2 linked regions of the Caenorhabditis elegans genome follow. The protein of the gene in region 1 interacts with the protein of each later gene in a pairwise test. Each region holds a gene or a part of one and is shown on either strand. Other genes may lie near its edges.

Region 1 (8,409 bases):
TTATGATATTCGCTATAGTCTGTGTGAATGTGCCAGTTTTTGCGATTTTCGTGGTGGCATTCTTGATATTCCTTGTCGGACTACTTCGGTATTTCCTGCCAGCTCTTCACAAAATTTCGAGCCTCGAGGAACAAAAACGAGACTTATTTCTGTGCGGGTCTATTGAAGATTTTGAAGCAAGAATTATGGTGCGAACGTTTGGAAAGGTAGTTTTAAACTTTTATTTTCCAGAAAAAAATGAATAGAAATGTTTTCAGACACGCCAAACGCTTGCAAAAACTAGTGTGAATGCAGATATACTGACGAGATGCCGAATGGCAAGATATTCAACTCTCAGATGGATTTCTCTTCGAACTGAGTTCATCTCAAATCTCATGGTTTTTCAGTTATAGGTTTTGAATCAAAACAATATTTTAATTACAGATTTGTATGTGTTTCTTCATCGCATCAATTTGTTTGAAAGTGGATTACATTGGAAATGCACAATTCGCTCTTTCAGTTGCATCAATTCTATGTGTAAGGGGTTTTTATTTTTAGTAAATTTAGAGTAGCCAACCAGAATCAGAAAAGAAGAAACTCAAAAGTTCCAAAAAAATTCAGATTAGCGAACTTGTTTCAACATTCATCCGAACCACGTGCATCCTTGAATCTCTAACTCCACACGTTCAACGTATCAGCAATGTGAGAGAATATCCAAAAGAGCCCATGATTGATAAATGCACCATCCGAGACTCTTGGCCGGACGACGGAAAAATTGAAATCAAAAAGTTTGCTTACCTTTTATTTCCCTCAATTTTCATATCAATTCAAATATTTCCAGCTTGAATGTATTCGCCAACAAGTACAGACACGTCATTAAAGATGTCTCCTTGGTAATAGAAGAACGAGAGAAACTGGGAATTATCGGTAAAGTTGGATCGGGAAAATCTCAACTGGCAAAGACATTGGTCATGATGAGCTCAGCAGACAAAGAGAGCCATATCGTTGTAGATGATTTGGACATTTTCGAGATGAGTGTAAAAACTTTGAGATCAAGGATCACAGTTATACCACAGGTGAGAAATTACAAAAACTGGTGGTTATAATTGAATTTGTTACCAGAAAGCAAAAATATTCTCGGACACTCTCCGTAGCAACATTGACCCATGTTGCCAGTTTGCTGATAGTGATATTTGGTTGGCAATTGAGGCATGTCAACTCAGAGAATATGTGAAAAGTCTACCGGATGGTTTGCATCAAATGGTGTCTCCTGAAAAAATGAGTAATGAGCAGAAATGTCAGGTGAATGTTTGCCGAGCACTTCTAAAAGGTGGTCAGATCTTTGTGATTGATCAATCGACGAAGATGATGAAAGAACCAATCAAGTCTTTGGTGAATGAGGCAATAAGAAATAGTTTGAAACAAAGTACTACAATTTGGATTGGTGAAGACTTTTCCGATGTTGAACATTGTGATAGGTAAGTACCAGAGTTTCTTTTAACGACTAGGCATTATATAATTATTTGAAGGAGGGGTTCTGAAATTAAAGATTATCATTTTCAACTCTTTCTTATTTTCATATTTGAATTCCCTCCAAACGAGAACTGCAAAACCAATCAGCAACTAGTTTCAGGGGTGCACGGCAATTGCCGTGCGGCATTCGAATTTTCGGCAATTTCGGCAGTTTCGGCAATTGCCAAAAATTTCCAAAACCGGCAATTGCCGAAATTGTCGATGGCCGGAAATTTCCAAAGCCGGCAATTGCTGAAATTTCGGATTGCCGGAAATTTCCAAAACCTGCAATTGCTGAAATTGCTGATTGCCGGAAATTTCCGATTGCCGCGCACCCTAGAATATCTTTTCTTTCACTATTTTTAAATTTTTATTTTATTGTAATTCAGCACTTTAGACCATTTTGAGTATCTTTAATCAAATATTTTTTTTGAGAAAACTAGAAACTTCATAATTTTTTAAACAATAACTAGATATGCTCCAGAAGAAACTTTATTTTCAGAGTCGTTGTAATTGAGAATGGTGTAATTCTCACAACGGACACTCCACAAAACTTGATTTCGGAATTCGGATCCCTTCAAAAATGCCTTTTGAACTTTTCGAAATGATGTTTAAAGTTGTTTTATTTTTTTTACCATTTATTAATTAACAATAATTTACCTAATCTTTCTTATTTTTTGGGCTACTCGTAATAATACTAATGTTTGAAATTCGAAGAACAATAAAAATTAAAACTGGGATCGAAGCTGCAGTAATAATGATATCAAGATTGTAAAATGTGAAAAAGTCCATATGTTTTCCCTCGTATTGCAATTCTTCTACACCGTCGTTTTCCAGCACCCAATTTGTCATTTTAACCAGTCTTTCAGATGCCGATTGAGGCTTGCTACGCATCAACTTTTTCAGACGGTTTGCTTTTTCTTGGTATCTGAAAATGAAATTAGAGGTGATTGTTTTATTTTTGAAGTTTCTAGAAAAAATGGATGAAATACACGTTCTTTTAAATATGGTCCTCAAAAATGGCCTTCAAAAAACTAGCTTCGGCGGAACCAGGGGTGTGCGGCAATTCTCAAATTTAGGCGAGCTAGGTGAATTCGGCAATTTTGGCAAATTTGCCGCACACACCTAGGCGGAACTAGAATTAATTTAATCTACCGCAACTATCAGCAATTATCAGCACGATTTTTCTAGTATTTTAGCGTAAAGCACAAATTTTAGACGTGCTCAAAAAAGTGTTCAAAACTAACGTTGGATTAACGAGAATCTCCTTGATAGCTCCCTCAATCGCATCTGGATCTTTAATCAACTGGAACCTATCTCTCAGAATTCCCCATCCTTTTCTCTCGACAGACCGTCCATTTCTTGGTTGATCAAACATAAATGGAATAAGAATAACTGGAACACCTGCATAGGCAGATTCCATCAAACTGTTGTAACCAGCATGTGTGATGAATGCTTTCAGTCTTGGATGAGCAAGAACTGCGGTTTGGGGAACCCAATCCACGACGAGGACATTTGAGAGTCCCTCAGCAAGATCAAAACTTCTCTGAAAATGAGTAAATGGGAGTTTTCTTGGATTTATAGGAATTTTCTTACTCTATCAAACTTGTCAACTTTAATTATGAACTCATAATCTTTGAATTTTTGAGTGATCTTCATTAAGTTTTCCATGATAGTTGGTGGTAGATTAGTAGTGTTGGCAATTGTCCCCAATGAGAATAAAATCACTCCTTTTCCTTTTTCCATAATTTTCACAAATTTCTGAATATATGAAGCCTTTAAGAAAGTTTGAAAGATTCTACTAACCTCGTCCAAGCCACCTCCTTCACTTGACAAGCCAAGCCCTCCGATGTGTACAACATTCGAAAGAGTGGGAGCTTGAATTTCCAAAAGTTCATCTGTTGAAACAAATATAAGATCAGAAGTTTTTGCCAAGAATTCGACACATGGGAAGTCAGATCTGTAGAAATTATTTAATTAAACGTAATTATCTCCCAAATTCTTACCCAAAGTTCTTTTTAAACATATCGTTTGTCAGTACAACATCCCTATATTCGTCTCTAATATGTGCCATTTGGAGCACAAAGTTCTTGGCTCTTTGCCAGAATGGAGCCGGGGTAGCGTCCAATGTTGACATGAAGGGTATCAAGCTGGACGGCGTTGGAATTCCGAGACTATCACGCATACTAACGCTCATTGTGCAACTGAAAATCTTAATGTTCTTTTTAGTTTAAAAAACCAAAACCAATACCTGGCAATCCAAAACCTGTGCTTGATGCCTATAAGATGAGCCAACCCCATTCCACACAAATGAATCTGCTCACCGAAATATGCATCGAACTTTTCTTTTTTCAGTTTTTCGATAAGTTCTTTGTTCGTTACCATTTCTGAACCGGAAAATACAGTAAAATTTGAATTCAGTTTAGAGCATACCTTCGCACATATTTGTGTATTCATCCTGATATGGATCACTATCCGTATTGAAAATTTTGCTCCAAATTGAAGATTGTTGGAATACGTCTCCAGATAACCCTGAAAATAAATTTTTAGTACCTAATAAGTACAGATTATTTAGCGTTTTATCACTCAAAATATTCCAAAAGACTGAATTTTTGTGTGAAACTTGTCAAATGATTTACCGAAACTTTTAAGGCGGCACAAAATTCAACAAAAAATTAGTTTTGCTCTTCTTGAAGTTACTGGGTAATTCGAGAAACATCAGTGAAAAATCAATTTTTAAATACTCACCATTTTGAATTTTCTTGAACTTATAGTTATTCAATCCAGTAACTGGCCATCTTCTACACTTTTTGCATGGCACAAATTTGTCTGTTAAATTCAAAAAATCTGGCTCGAAATTCACAACCTCGTGTCCAGCATTCGCCAACTCATCTGCGATTCTTCCCTGTGAGATCATATGTGACTTGCTTGCAGTTGGCGAGAACATCAGGATTTTGTGAGAGGTAGTCACTTGGCAAACAGCAAGAAATGTGAGTATCCGTAACAACATTTTTAAAGCTGAAATTAAAATGAATTTCAGAGTTTAATTTTTTATTTTAAAAGTTATAGTAATCATTTAACAAGTATCAAAAATAAACCGAAAAGAAGAATTGGAAATTATGTATATGCAAACGAAACTATTATTATCAGTTGTACGTACTAACCATTCCAATTGATAAGAAATATGTGAACTGTGAAAGTTGATGGTATTATGATGACTATATATTTGCAAAAGTCATCATTTTTAATAGATCCATGTCAAATATTTTGACATCTCTGAAATATTCAAGTTACTGTAAAAAAATAGAGTTGACCAAAAAGAATTTATTCAAATAAATAACTTTTTGCAGTTACAAAACTCTCTGTCTTTGTGCCATTAAGGCAGGCGTAACATGCCGTAAAGGTGGCCTCCGCCTTTTTTACTGCGGTTGCCTGGTAGGCACACAGGCAGGAATTTTTTATTTTTTTTATTGGCTCTAATTTTTTTCTCATAAAGTTTTCTTTTCTCTATTCAAAGCTTTCAATTTAAAAAAAAACTCAAAGAGCACTTAAAGCTCAAAAGCCCAAAAGATCAAGGAAATGCTGCTGCTGCGTATTGACGGATAGATGGCTTGCAAATCTTTTATATGTACTTGTAAAAGTTACGTAAAATTGCGCAATATGATAGGAAACCGAGCATTTGGCAGACAATTTTCGAAAATTTTCGCCGAGGGCAATTATCAAAAGATGAACTTACATATATTAGGTTGGTCGAAAAGTCTTTGCAAAATTTTGATTTTTTTTGGAAGTAGTATTTTTTCAAAGCGAACAAGATTCAATGGGTAATATATTTACCATTAATGCCTATGACTTCTTGCCAACACAACGGAAGTTGAACAGTACCCTCCGCCTAGAACTCCTGCGATTAGGAGGCAAAGAAGTCGTCCAACCCCGTTTCGACGACCTTTCGATCATGAAACTTCTGCCCGGCAAGGTGATTCTGGAGTGAGCGGAACAGATGGTAGTCAGTAGGAGCCAAGCCCGGCGAATACGATGGGTAAGACAAAATTTGGATTCCGACTGTCTGGAGCTTCTGGCGGGTCTTAAAAGTTGTATGCGGTCTTGCGTTGTCATGGAGCAGCAACAACTTTGATCCTCTAGGGCGATGTAATCGATGAGCATGGACCATCTTTTCCAATTAAATGCTGTATAGGCCAGCGTTGATTGTAGCAAAGTCTGGAAGAAGCTCTCTGGAAATGACACCCTTACTGTCCCGCCCAATTGAGAGAAGCACTTTTTCCGTGAAGTTCTAATTTGAGGTCAGGTGTCGCGGTTTCCTCGACCGGGACCCACTCTTTTTTCCTGGTATGGCTAACATACAATACCCATTTATCATTTCCAGTAATGATATCCTTAACCCAGTCCGTTGTTCGTTTCCTAGTGAGCAGCGAAAGAGAGAGGTCACAAAACAATTTTTCTGAGAATCGGGCAAATTGTGAGGAACGAGTTGACCGAACTTTTCTACCCTTCCGGTTTCGTGGAGATGGTTGATGATGGTTTTTTGGGGATGCTTGAGAGTCGCAGAAAGTTCGCGGTTCGTTGCTCTTGGATCATCTTCCAGGGCTCTCGAAATATCCTCGTCGATATTCAAACGAGAGCGATCTTATCTTGGTTTATCATCGAGATCGTAGTTCTTTTTCGTGAACTTTTCGAACCAAAACTTCATGGTATTATAGGTGACAGAGTTCTTGCCTAACACTGCACACATGTTACGACGAGTTTCGTTGCAATTGCAGATTTGGGGGAACTCGTACAGAAAAACCCATCGGAGGGCGTGACGTTCGGCGAGCAAATTCTCGGTCATTTTGAACAGCACCCAAAAGTTTTTTTTAAATATATTAAACATGCACATTACGTACTATGCAAATAAAAAAACAGAATCAGAAAAAAAATGAATTAACGCTGAGAAATGAAGAAAAGTACAAATTTTGCAAAGACTTTTCGACCAACCTAATACAAATACTATAAATCCTAAAGGCACACGTCAAGCCATGAACTTTGTAGCGATTATTGTAATGTTCTCACAATAAAAACTGTTAGTCTTTCTCTGTTGCACAATATAAATTGCATAGTCTTTTTCATCGTCTGATGTTGTTTCCCTTGGCATTTTCATTTTTAAGGCCCAAAGAATTTTGCTCAAAAATTGTCCTTCTATTTGGAAAGAGTTGGCTCACTATCAGAAGTTGATAATGCACTTTTCAAAGTTTCTGTTTGCACCCCCAGTTGCAAAATTTTAAAATAAAATCTTTAATAAAACTGGAGACTGGTAAAACAAGAAGGCAAGACCCACAGAAAAGAAAAGAAATGTCGCTATAATTCAGGATGGTTCAGATTTTTCAGAGAACCATTGGAACAACAAAATGAGCATTGATGTGAATTTTTGGTAAGGCACTTTGTGAATGGTAAAGGAATTGATAAGTAATATAAAAGAAGCACTAGGAATAAGAAAAAAAATCACAGAAAATAGAAAAGAACAACCCGAAAAGAATCACAATAATTATAATGAAAAAAAAAATCTCTATAACATTAATTTAAAAAATGAGAAATAAAAAGAATTTTACTGCTGAAGTCCTTGAAGCTTGCGTCGAAGAACTATTATCAGCCGTTTTTGTCTGAAATTCGAAGATATTTGATATTAAAAGCCAATCGTTACGCCTACTTGTCAATTTCCGTCCGTAGCCTTGTCAAATCTTCACATTCGCTGAAATCAGCTTGTGTCCAGTTGGTCATAGCTGACATATTGGAAATTGTTCTTGTATTGGATCTAGGTGGAGCAATTGGTGTAGACGATTTTAGTCTGAAAGTTAAAAAAAAAAGGTTAATATTCTTTTTTAGATCTTTGAACATTTAGGAAACAAAACTGCCCCATTGCATTTTGAATAAATTTAATGTTTCCAAATACGTTTCAAGTGGCTAACTTAGGATTGCAAAACAAAATTCCTACTTTTCGAGCACGAAAAACCTATCAATTTCGAAAACTTAAGTGGTCATTAATTTAAATTTTAAGCAAATCTACATAATTTCTCTACTTTAAAATTTCATTTCTCGGTTAGTTTTGAGGTTATCAAAAAAATATCAGCTATTAACAACCAAGTTATTAACAATTAAAAAAGACCAATGTTGTATATAAATTGATATGGTATAATGTGCGGCAACCGGCAAATTTTGACAATTTTCAAACATATATTTTTTGTTGATCTTATTTTGGATCGTCTTTTAGAAAAATGTAGTTTTTTTCAAGGAGATATGCTCGCATCTTTCAGGTGCTCTGAACGCGCATTTAGGATTTATTAAGTTGAAATTGATATCGGCAGTTGTCAAATTTGCCGAAGTTGCATGGCCCCAAAATCTCAAGGCAACAGACAATTGCCGAAATATTGGTTACACAGTCCTACACGGTTACGTTCTTGTAGTTGTGGGTTGTCAAAGTAAAAGTAGATTAGTCAAACTTTAGGGTCACAAATTTTAGACTAAAATTTTAGTACGGAACATAACCACATATCAAAAACTCAATTACAATAACACACTTTTCATTGTCGTTCTTCACTTGATGCAATTCTTCTCGTACCATATCCAATTGATGAAGATCACGACGACGGCTGAAATATCACAAAACAAAACCGTGCTGGTTATCATGCAAAAAACAGAGTTAAAAGAAAGTACAATAAGAAATCTTCAAAGTAACTTACTTTCTCTCAGCGGTTTCTACTTGAGATTGAAGTTCATCCACTTGCTTCTCTAGGGTATTCTTTCTGGAATCGGCCATTTGCAATTCTGAAGCAAGGCGTGTCTTTTCAAGATTTGCTCTGAAAAATAAAAATTGATAAATTCTAGTGATAAATCAATCTTGGACTAACGTTTTAAGCCTTTCCTCGAATT
Region 2 (7,630 bases), on another chromosome or scaffold:
CAAAGTTAGCAACTTCATTGGCTGGAAAGTATGTAGAAGTTCCATTGAATCAAGAACACTCGAAAATTGAAACAGCACTGCCAAGAAGTCACAGTAACGGTAATTTTTGAAAACTACAAAAATGTCCTAGTTATGAGAAAAATCAATTTTTCTTGTGTTTGGTCAATTATCTGTTGTTAGATACTTTTCGAATTTAAATTAATATTGCCGCTTCAAAAATGCAATTCCTAAATCTGTGTATTAAATATTGGATCCGTCTAAATTTTGGCATGAAGTAGAGGCTCCGCCCATATCTTGGCTTCAAACACATAATCTACGAGACTTCTTCAGAATCGTTCGACGAAATTGACTACACAAAAACCGTTCGTACCGCTGACTCTGCAATCGATCAATATTTCACGGGTCAAATTCTGTGTGGACTCGTTGTTCTGCACTATGAACCAATTCCACAATCTGTTTCAATTATTGAGAAACTGGATCAAATATGTGTTCGCCCTGTTTATTTTTCAAAAGAAAACGAGCTGCGGAGTAGAGTTTTTGCGGAGAAACTTGGAATTGAAGCCGGATGGAATTGTCATATTTCGTTAGCCGAAGAGGAATCGGCGCCTGTAAGGAAGGCTGGTGTGGCTCATGAACAATTTTTGGCGCAGAAACCAAGTAGATCAAAGTTTTGGAGACGAATCGCATTGTAAGTTAATTCCAAAATAAACTAGTGAGCAAATCTAAAAGCGTCGAAGCCAGAGAACTTGAGTGTATCCAAAATATTTTGAACTTCAGAAGTGAATCTAACTTGGAAAGTCTGGACTGCGAATCTCTCGCCCGTGGATCTCCATCCCTTCGGAAAATGAGCGTGGTTTCTGCGAAAATGGCTCCAATCCCAAATATTGCACGACTCCCGACGGGTGTTCAGAATGTTCGGCCGCATTTGGATGAAGTAGATAATGTTCCACTTCTCGTTGGATTATTCACAGATTCAAACACTTCTGCGGTCGAGGAAATGATTGAGATTATGCAGGTATTGATGAGTTTTGGATTTCCTAGATAATCAGGGTTTCAGGAAAATGGAGAAGTTGTGATGGTAGTGGGAAGTTGTCGGAATGCGAGTAATTCAATGATCTACTCAAAAGCTAATATTTCCGTGTGTGTGGATGATGTAGAAGAACCCGCATGCCGGCTATTGGATCATCCAGTTGAATCTGTGAACAATAATGTTATGCAGATTTCAAGTAGGCTTACTGCGTTAGCCACGGATTTTCGATTGGATCATGTAAAGGTATTTTTCATTCTAGTTCATTTTTTAAACAGAATGTAGTTATCGTAGCTAAATTCAGTGGGAAAATGGTTTTTTTTTAAATTTTAATACTTAAAGTTTTAAATTTTAACCATGGTTTTTTAGATTCATGTTCAAATACTGTTCGAACAGGAAAAAATGCGCTAAATTTCTCAAATAGCCAAAAAAACATTTTCAAAATTTTTTCATGATGCTAAAACTCTGACTGAAAACATTAGAAAGTCTAAAAATTGTTAAAGATATTCAATTTCAAAAACTTCCCTTGCGCTACTCCTCTTTTAAAACAAAATTCTAACACTCTACAAAAATATTTTTTTTCTAAATTACAGCTTCTAAAAATGTCATCACTGATAGTATGTGCTCGTCATCGAATGTCATCATTCCGTCATTCTCTTCTATTTATTCTATATGCTTCACTTTTATATTCAGTGACAATTCTCATGTCAACATTCTTCTTTCTACCAATTATTTTCACACATTCTCAAACTATTTTGACCTCATTTCTACATATTCCTGTATTGTTTTTGGGCACTTTATTCACAAGTTTTGAGCCAAAATCAAAGATAATAAGGATCGCACCAAAGGTTAGTTATTTTAAAATTGAAAAAAAGTGGTTCAGGATTGACATAAAACTTACATTTTGTATGAGCTGTAAACTGTAAGAGTAAAATTATATTGAAGTTTATGAGTTAAAGCATTTTGAGAAAACCCAAAAACTTTGTGTTCTTTGCAATTTCCAATTAAAATCCAAATATTCCAGAACTCATCTGAAATTCCAAAAGTAGAAAAGCTGAAAACAGTGAGTCAGTTCATTTGGCAATTTGTTCCATCTGCTGTATACATCAACATTCTATTTCTCATCCTTTTAATGGCAAACTCCAATCTCATGTGCTCATTTTCCGATATTTCGTGCTTATTCAATACGGACGGATCTGCAGGTTCACAGCCACTTTTGGAATTTAATGAGACAAGATTGGGACAAGTTAGTCTATCAACTGAGACAATAAGGCATATCATTGGATTACAGGTACGTTGAAAGAATTATCAAGAAATAATTTCGACTGAAAGACTTTCAGATAACTGTTATCTATTGTGTCTTGTCATCAAGTTTTGTCTACGGGCTATCTTCTCTATGGTACGAATTTCCAATTAAGTGTCTTCTTTGGGATGCAGCTGTCATTGTGTGTCTTATCACCCAGGTATGATTGAAGCGTTGAGAACTAATACTTGAATTGATTTTCAAACGTAGAAATTCGTTTTTTGCACACTTTTTGAGTTTTTCCCCTAGAAACCTCTATACTCTTCAATTTCCAGATTGGCTATTCATATCTTCGAGGTGTTCATCTTTCCGACCTCTTTTCCCTTCTTCCATTGGGAATTTTATTCATATGGATATGTATTATTGTAATCGTCAATGAGTTGATCAAAATCCGTCGGATACGTCAATTCACTCGTGAACAAAGAAGAACCAAATTCGAATTTGATACAAAACTCGGAATGAACTCACCATATTAATCACTTGCTCAAGAAAGTTTTGCACACGGGTCGTTGTATAGAATAGCGTGTAGATACTACATATTTTTTTGAAAACATATGTTTAAAATTCAAAATAAATTATTTAACATTGACTGTTTATGTCTCAAATTGAAATACCATCACAATTAATGTCAATGAAAAAAATGTGAAGTAAAGTTTTTGGAAAATTTATTTGAAACCTGAATTATTTTAGGAATTTCAGGTACCACTGTTCAAATTTCGTCTATCTAGACCAATAACCATTCAAAATAGATGATTCACACTTGCCTGTTGATCATGAAAACAAGTTGTGTTTCGAATCGTTGTTCAATATCCGTGTCTCTATTTCTCTCTTGATCAATTATCTCTTCTTCCTTTTCTCTTTTCACTTAATAACAACAGTTGTTAGGTTGGCTCAGTTGAAGAAAGCAACTCACATTTGTGTACCTGACATTAACTATCGATTTAATTTTTTTCAATTTGAAGAGATTAAGAAATGCTGAAACTTCTAATAACTGTCGGTTTGGCAGTTGGGACCGTTTATTCGCTGACTTGTTATAATGTGAGTTTCCGAAATTTTCAGAACATCTGAAAGTTGAGAACTCAGAAGATTAGGTTTAAATTTGTGAAAAAATATTGATTGCAGGGAAGTAAAACGTTGGCGTTTCAAAGTGTAGGTGAGACAACAGAGGAGTGCCCCGAGTCATCATATTGCTATAATATGTCAACTTCTGCAATGGTTATGGTCAATTTTGTGAAGGCTGGATGTTCGAGATGGAGGTGTATGGTTAGTCTAAAATTCATGATTTCTAAACTTAAACTTGGGTTAGGGATGTATTTCTTGGCACTCACTTATTTCCCAAAATAGTTTTTTTCTAAATCTACAATCAGGTTGCCATTTCAGCTAGCAAAAGACACATGTATCTTCACAACCTTCCAAATGGTTCCAGTCAGTTTGTGCTGTTGTAGTTATGATCGATGCAATGTTGGTGGAAACCCTGTATATTCTGACAAGTTAGTTTCCATTTTTTAAACTCTAACTGTTCACTTGGAAAAATTAAAATTTCTATTCAAAATGTTTTTATAGGAACTTGTTTGGTTGTTAACTACATATACCGTATATTTTTTATTAGTAATGTCTATTACTGTAACCTTTTTTCGAGAACAATTTATATTTGAAACAATTTAATGGAATTCTTCCTGCACTGCTCGATGGTTCCACAATAAATTACTCTAAAAACTTTTTTAATTAAAAGTTTTTTTCTGTTAAATTATTTCACAGTGTTCATAAATTTGTACTCAAAATATGAGCCTTTGTAAATGAATAATAATGTTCTCAATTTCAAAATAAGCTCTCAATAATTAGTACTGCAGAACATTTTCTAACAACTATGATTCTTTACTTCTAAGTGCACAACGGTCATTTTTTGTTTGAAAAAAGTTATTTTTGTCAAAAATAATTTAATTACTAGCAATTTTTAATTTTTCCAGCCCGAAACAAATCCAAAATGGTGGTGGAAACAGTGGCAACTGGAACAGCGGAGGAAACAATAATGGAGCAAGCGGAGGATCGTGGGGAAATGGGAATGCTAATAATAATAATAATAATAATAATGGTGGATCGAATAACAATGGATGGGGAAATAATAAGTAAGCCTGTTTTTACAGGTGATATTGTTTAAAAAAGTGTATCTGGGTTTTGTAGAATTCCCTAATTTTTAAACCATTTTTTTAACCGTTTTCAGATGGCTTCCAAGTTTGAAATAACTTTTTAAAAAACTTATTCACTCGTATATTTACTGCAGAAATAGTGGCGCTTCATTTTAACTAAATTGTTTTTTTTTCAGTGACTGGAGCAGCAACTACAACTATGGAGGCTCAAATGCAGCCAACGAGCCAAAAATGTAAGAAATCTTTAACTTCAAACATTTCAAGAATTTAAATATTTTCAATTAAAAGTGTTTAATTAACCTTTTAAAGGACAAAACAAACAGTTGCTGGAGATGATTCATGGAACAAAAACAAATGGACAAACAAACAAGTCGAGGATATGTTCAAAAAATCCATTGATGATCGTGGGGACGAGATCCAACTGGAAGATGATTTCAAGAAAATCGATAAAAATTACAAGACACAATCAGTTCCTCAGGAGTCATTGAGAACACTTTCCGCGCGGAAGGAAGTCGAGAAAATTCCATTTGTAGCTGGAAAAAGCTCAGGAGTTGGAGCAAAGACCACAGCCAGTCCTACTACTGGAAAGTCCAAAGAAATTCAATTGTAAAATTTAATGTTTTTATATTTAACAAGTTTATAAATAATAAAGTTTGAAAACCAAAGAAAAAAGACTATAAAAATTGTTTTAAAAACCTTAAAAATTATTTGGCATTCGAACTTTTTTTTTTTTACAGATTTTTTTACTCCATTTTCAAGCCAAGTTGCCAGAAAAGGTTGCAGTCGCAGTTGAGTAAAATCCACCTCCCATCCAATAAATCCGATTTCCGTTCAAAACCTGTTGATGCTTCTTCTTTGAGTTCCTCTTTTATGACTTTTTGTGTTCCGATTCACGTTTCTGTGAAGTAGTCCACGTAATCCGTGTTCCGTATGTGCCACAACCATCTGACCAATGACAATACAAAATGTGTTGTGTGTACAAGAGAGAATGAGGGAGCAAGAACACATAAAAAACAACAACAATAATGCTGCTCTCTCACTTTCTGTATTTCAATTGAATCAAAAATGTCCGTGCTCATTTATTTGCTCTCTGGGTTGTCCGCAGAGCCTGCTGCTGCTCATTGAGCTAACCAGTTCAGTGGTCTCCAATTCACGGATACATATAAATACAGATTGATGTATGCAATTCACGTATTTCCCGCGTGTTTCAATCAAACTATATATGTTAGCTTTACTCATTTTATTACTGGCAGGTAATTTTTAAACGTTTGATCCTTTAAAGGGGTACGGTAAGAAGAAACTACAAATTTACATATTACTTATAATCTAACACTGTAGGAGCTTGCGAAATTGTTCCAGATTTTTAGAAAAAGTACAACTTTTGCAAAAATTTAACAGAACAATTTTGGGAAAAAAAAAGAAATGTTAGTGTTTTTTCTATTTTGTGTTTTTATATATTTTAAGTCCATATTAGTATATTTTGACCTGATTAGCCTTCAGGCCTATGTGCCTATTTTTTTTTTCTTGCCTGCTCATTGCCAATTTTGTTTTGGTATGCACAGCGTTTGCATATCATTTCTAATATTTTAGATTTTATGAAAGGAAAAAACAATGATTTTTTTCACAAAAAAAATATATGCCGAAAACGAGATTGGCGCTAATATTCAGAGAATTAAACTATGGAAATTCAATTCATTTTAAGTTTTGAAGCAATTCTCCATATTTAAAAAGTTGTAAAATTATCTAAAAAAAGCCAGTTCTCGAGATTTTTTTGGAATAAGAAAGTAGTTTGAACAGAACAATTGAGGGATGAAAACACCATTTTTCGCTAATTTGTGTTTCAATTTCCAGCACAGCAAATCACACCACAGTGCCAACAATGTGGAAATCGGCGAATAGTGCAACAATATAGGTCATATCCGCAGAAAAAGTTCAACTTTAATTTTGAACAATTTTTCAGCAGATTCCCCGGATTTACGTGAGTTCTCTGTATTTTGGAAATTTTTGAAAAAATTCTCTGAATCCAAAAATTCAAAAAAAAAGTAAAAACTTTAAAAACTCATAATCTTTTTCTATTCCAGATCTCCTCAACGTCAGCCACCCTCCCAACCTCGTGTATTTAATAGTTATGGTCAAGAAGCCGAAACATTTGGCTCAGCGATCGGAAAATCAATCGGGAGGAGAATTCAACAGGTTTGTGTCAATATTGAAAGCAAAAAATTTCAAGGAAATTTGAAACTTTTCCGCGTGGATTGATCGGAGGAACAATAGAATAAAATGATTGAGACTATGCAAATAATATGGGATTTTTGAAAAAAAAAAGAAACTATTGGACTCTGAGGTTTTTGAAAATCTTTTTTCTGTGACGTGCTCATCGCAATAATAATAATAATAATAATGTAAAAATTATGGGAAAAAAGTGTATTTCCTCTAATAGTACTGCACCCCATTTCCCAGGTTTGGTGAAAAATTGTCAGCTAACAGCTAAATCAATTTTCGATTTTAAATTTAATAAATTTACATCTACTAAAAATATTATATTTCACCTAAGTTGTTATATTTCCAGGCAATGGCAGCACAAGACCCAGCATTTGACATCGAGTTTGCACAACCATCATCTCCAGCATCCACATCATCTACCGCATATTCCCCACCGCCTGCCACGTCATCCACAACATATGGATCCTCGATCCCATCCACATATCCCCCATCAACTTTTGCTCCATCAGCATACCCAACTTCTTCATCATGGGGTTCAACACATCCACCAGAAGATCTTCCAACTGTTCAACAAGCATTCCAACAACAGCAACAATCATATGGAACAGTTCAACCTCAAGTTTCACTTGCGCAAAGTTTAATCGGAAACTCAAACGGATTCGGTGGATTACCGGGACTTTTGCCTCCACCAAGTAACGGAGACTGTCCATGGTGTTCAGGATATCGAGGAAAACGAGGTCCGGATACGGAAAAGGAAAAGAAAAACGAGAAGATTTGAGGCGTTTACTTATTTTTCGATTATTTATTTTAATGTTATTTACGCAAGTATTATTTCAAATTAATAATATATGTATATTTAAATTATTTCCTAATAGATGTGCTCCAGAGGTGTGCGGAACTTTTTTGCCGATGGTTTTTTGGAATTATATACAG

The links. The genes of interacting proteins can lie anywhere in the genome.
Region 2: the proteins of ugt-48 (region 1) and pqn-24 interact in a two-hybrid assay, tested with the Caenorhabditis elegans proteins (one large-scale study listed by BioGRID).

The regions. Positions count from the first base shown.
Region 1 is NC_003283.11:5,543,554-5,551,962, forward strand, and holds ugt-48 (Putative UDP-glucuronosyltransferase ugt-48), read right to left. Parts: upstream 4,510-8,409; 5' UTR 4,502-4,509; coding exon 4,240-4,501; intron 4,024-4,239; coding exon 3,925-4,023; intron 3,879-3,924; coding exon 3,743-3,878; intron 3,696-3,742; coding exon 3,498-3,695; intron 3,452-3,497; coding exon 3,298-3,451; intron 3,253-3,297; coding exon 3,088-3,252; intron 3,038-3,087; coding exon 2,739-3,037; intron 2,420-2,738; coding exon 2,152-2,419; 3' UTR 2,116-2,151; downstream 1-2,115. Other genes in the region: cft-1 (Cystic Fibrosis Transmembrane conductance regulator homolog), read left to right, coding at 1-206, 258-377, 424-516, 601-767, 821-1,055, 1,102-1,457, 1,994-2,099; C18C4.7 (Golgin-84), read right to left, coding at 7,088-7,142, 7,190-7,327, 8,058-8,129, 8,220-8,336, 8,388-8,409.
Region 2 is NC_003279.8:4,560,838-4,568,467, forward strand, and holds pqn-24 (Prion-like-(Q/N-rich)-domain-bearing protein), read left to right. Parts: upstream 1-3,197; 5' UTR 3,198-3,302; coding exon 3,303-3,368; intron 3,369-3,452; coding exon 3,453-3,593; intron 3,594-3,710; coding exon 3,711-3,820; intron 3,821-4,297; coding exon 4,298-4,456; intron 4,457-4,653; coding exon 4,654-4,710; intron 4,711-4,786; coding exon 4,787-5,087; 3' UTR 5,088-5,145; downstream 5,146-7,630. Other genes in the region: D1007.15 (Cation-transporting P-type ATPase C-terminal domain-containing protein), read left to right, coding at 1-99, 331-688, 778-1,015, 1,058-1,273, 1,621-1,875, 2,052-2,318, 2,368-2,490, 2,606-2,806; idpp-10 (Intrinsically Disordered Protein, expressed in Pharynx), read left to right, coding at 5,658-5,730, 6,329-6,455, 6,559-6,670, 7,044-7,475.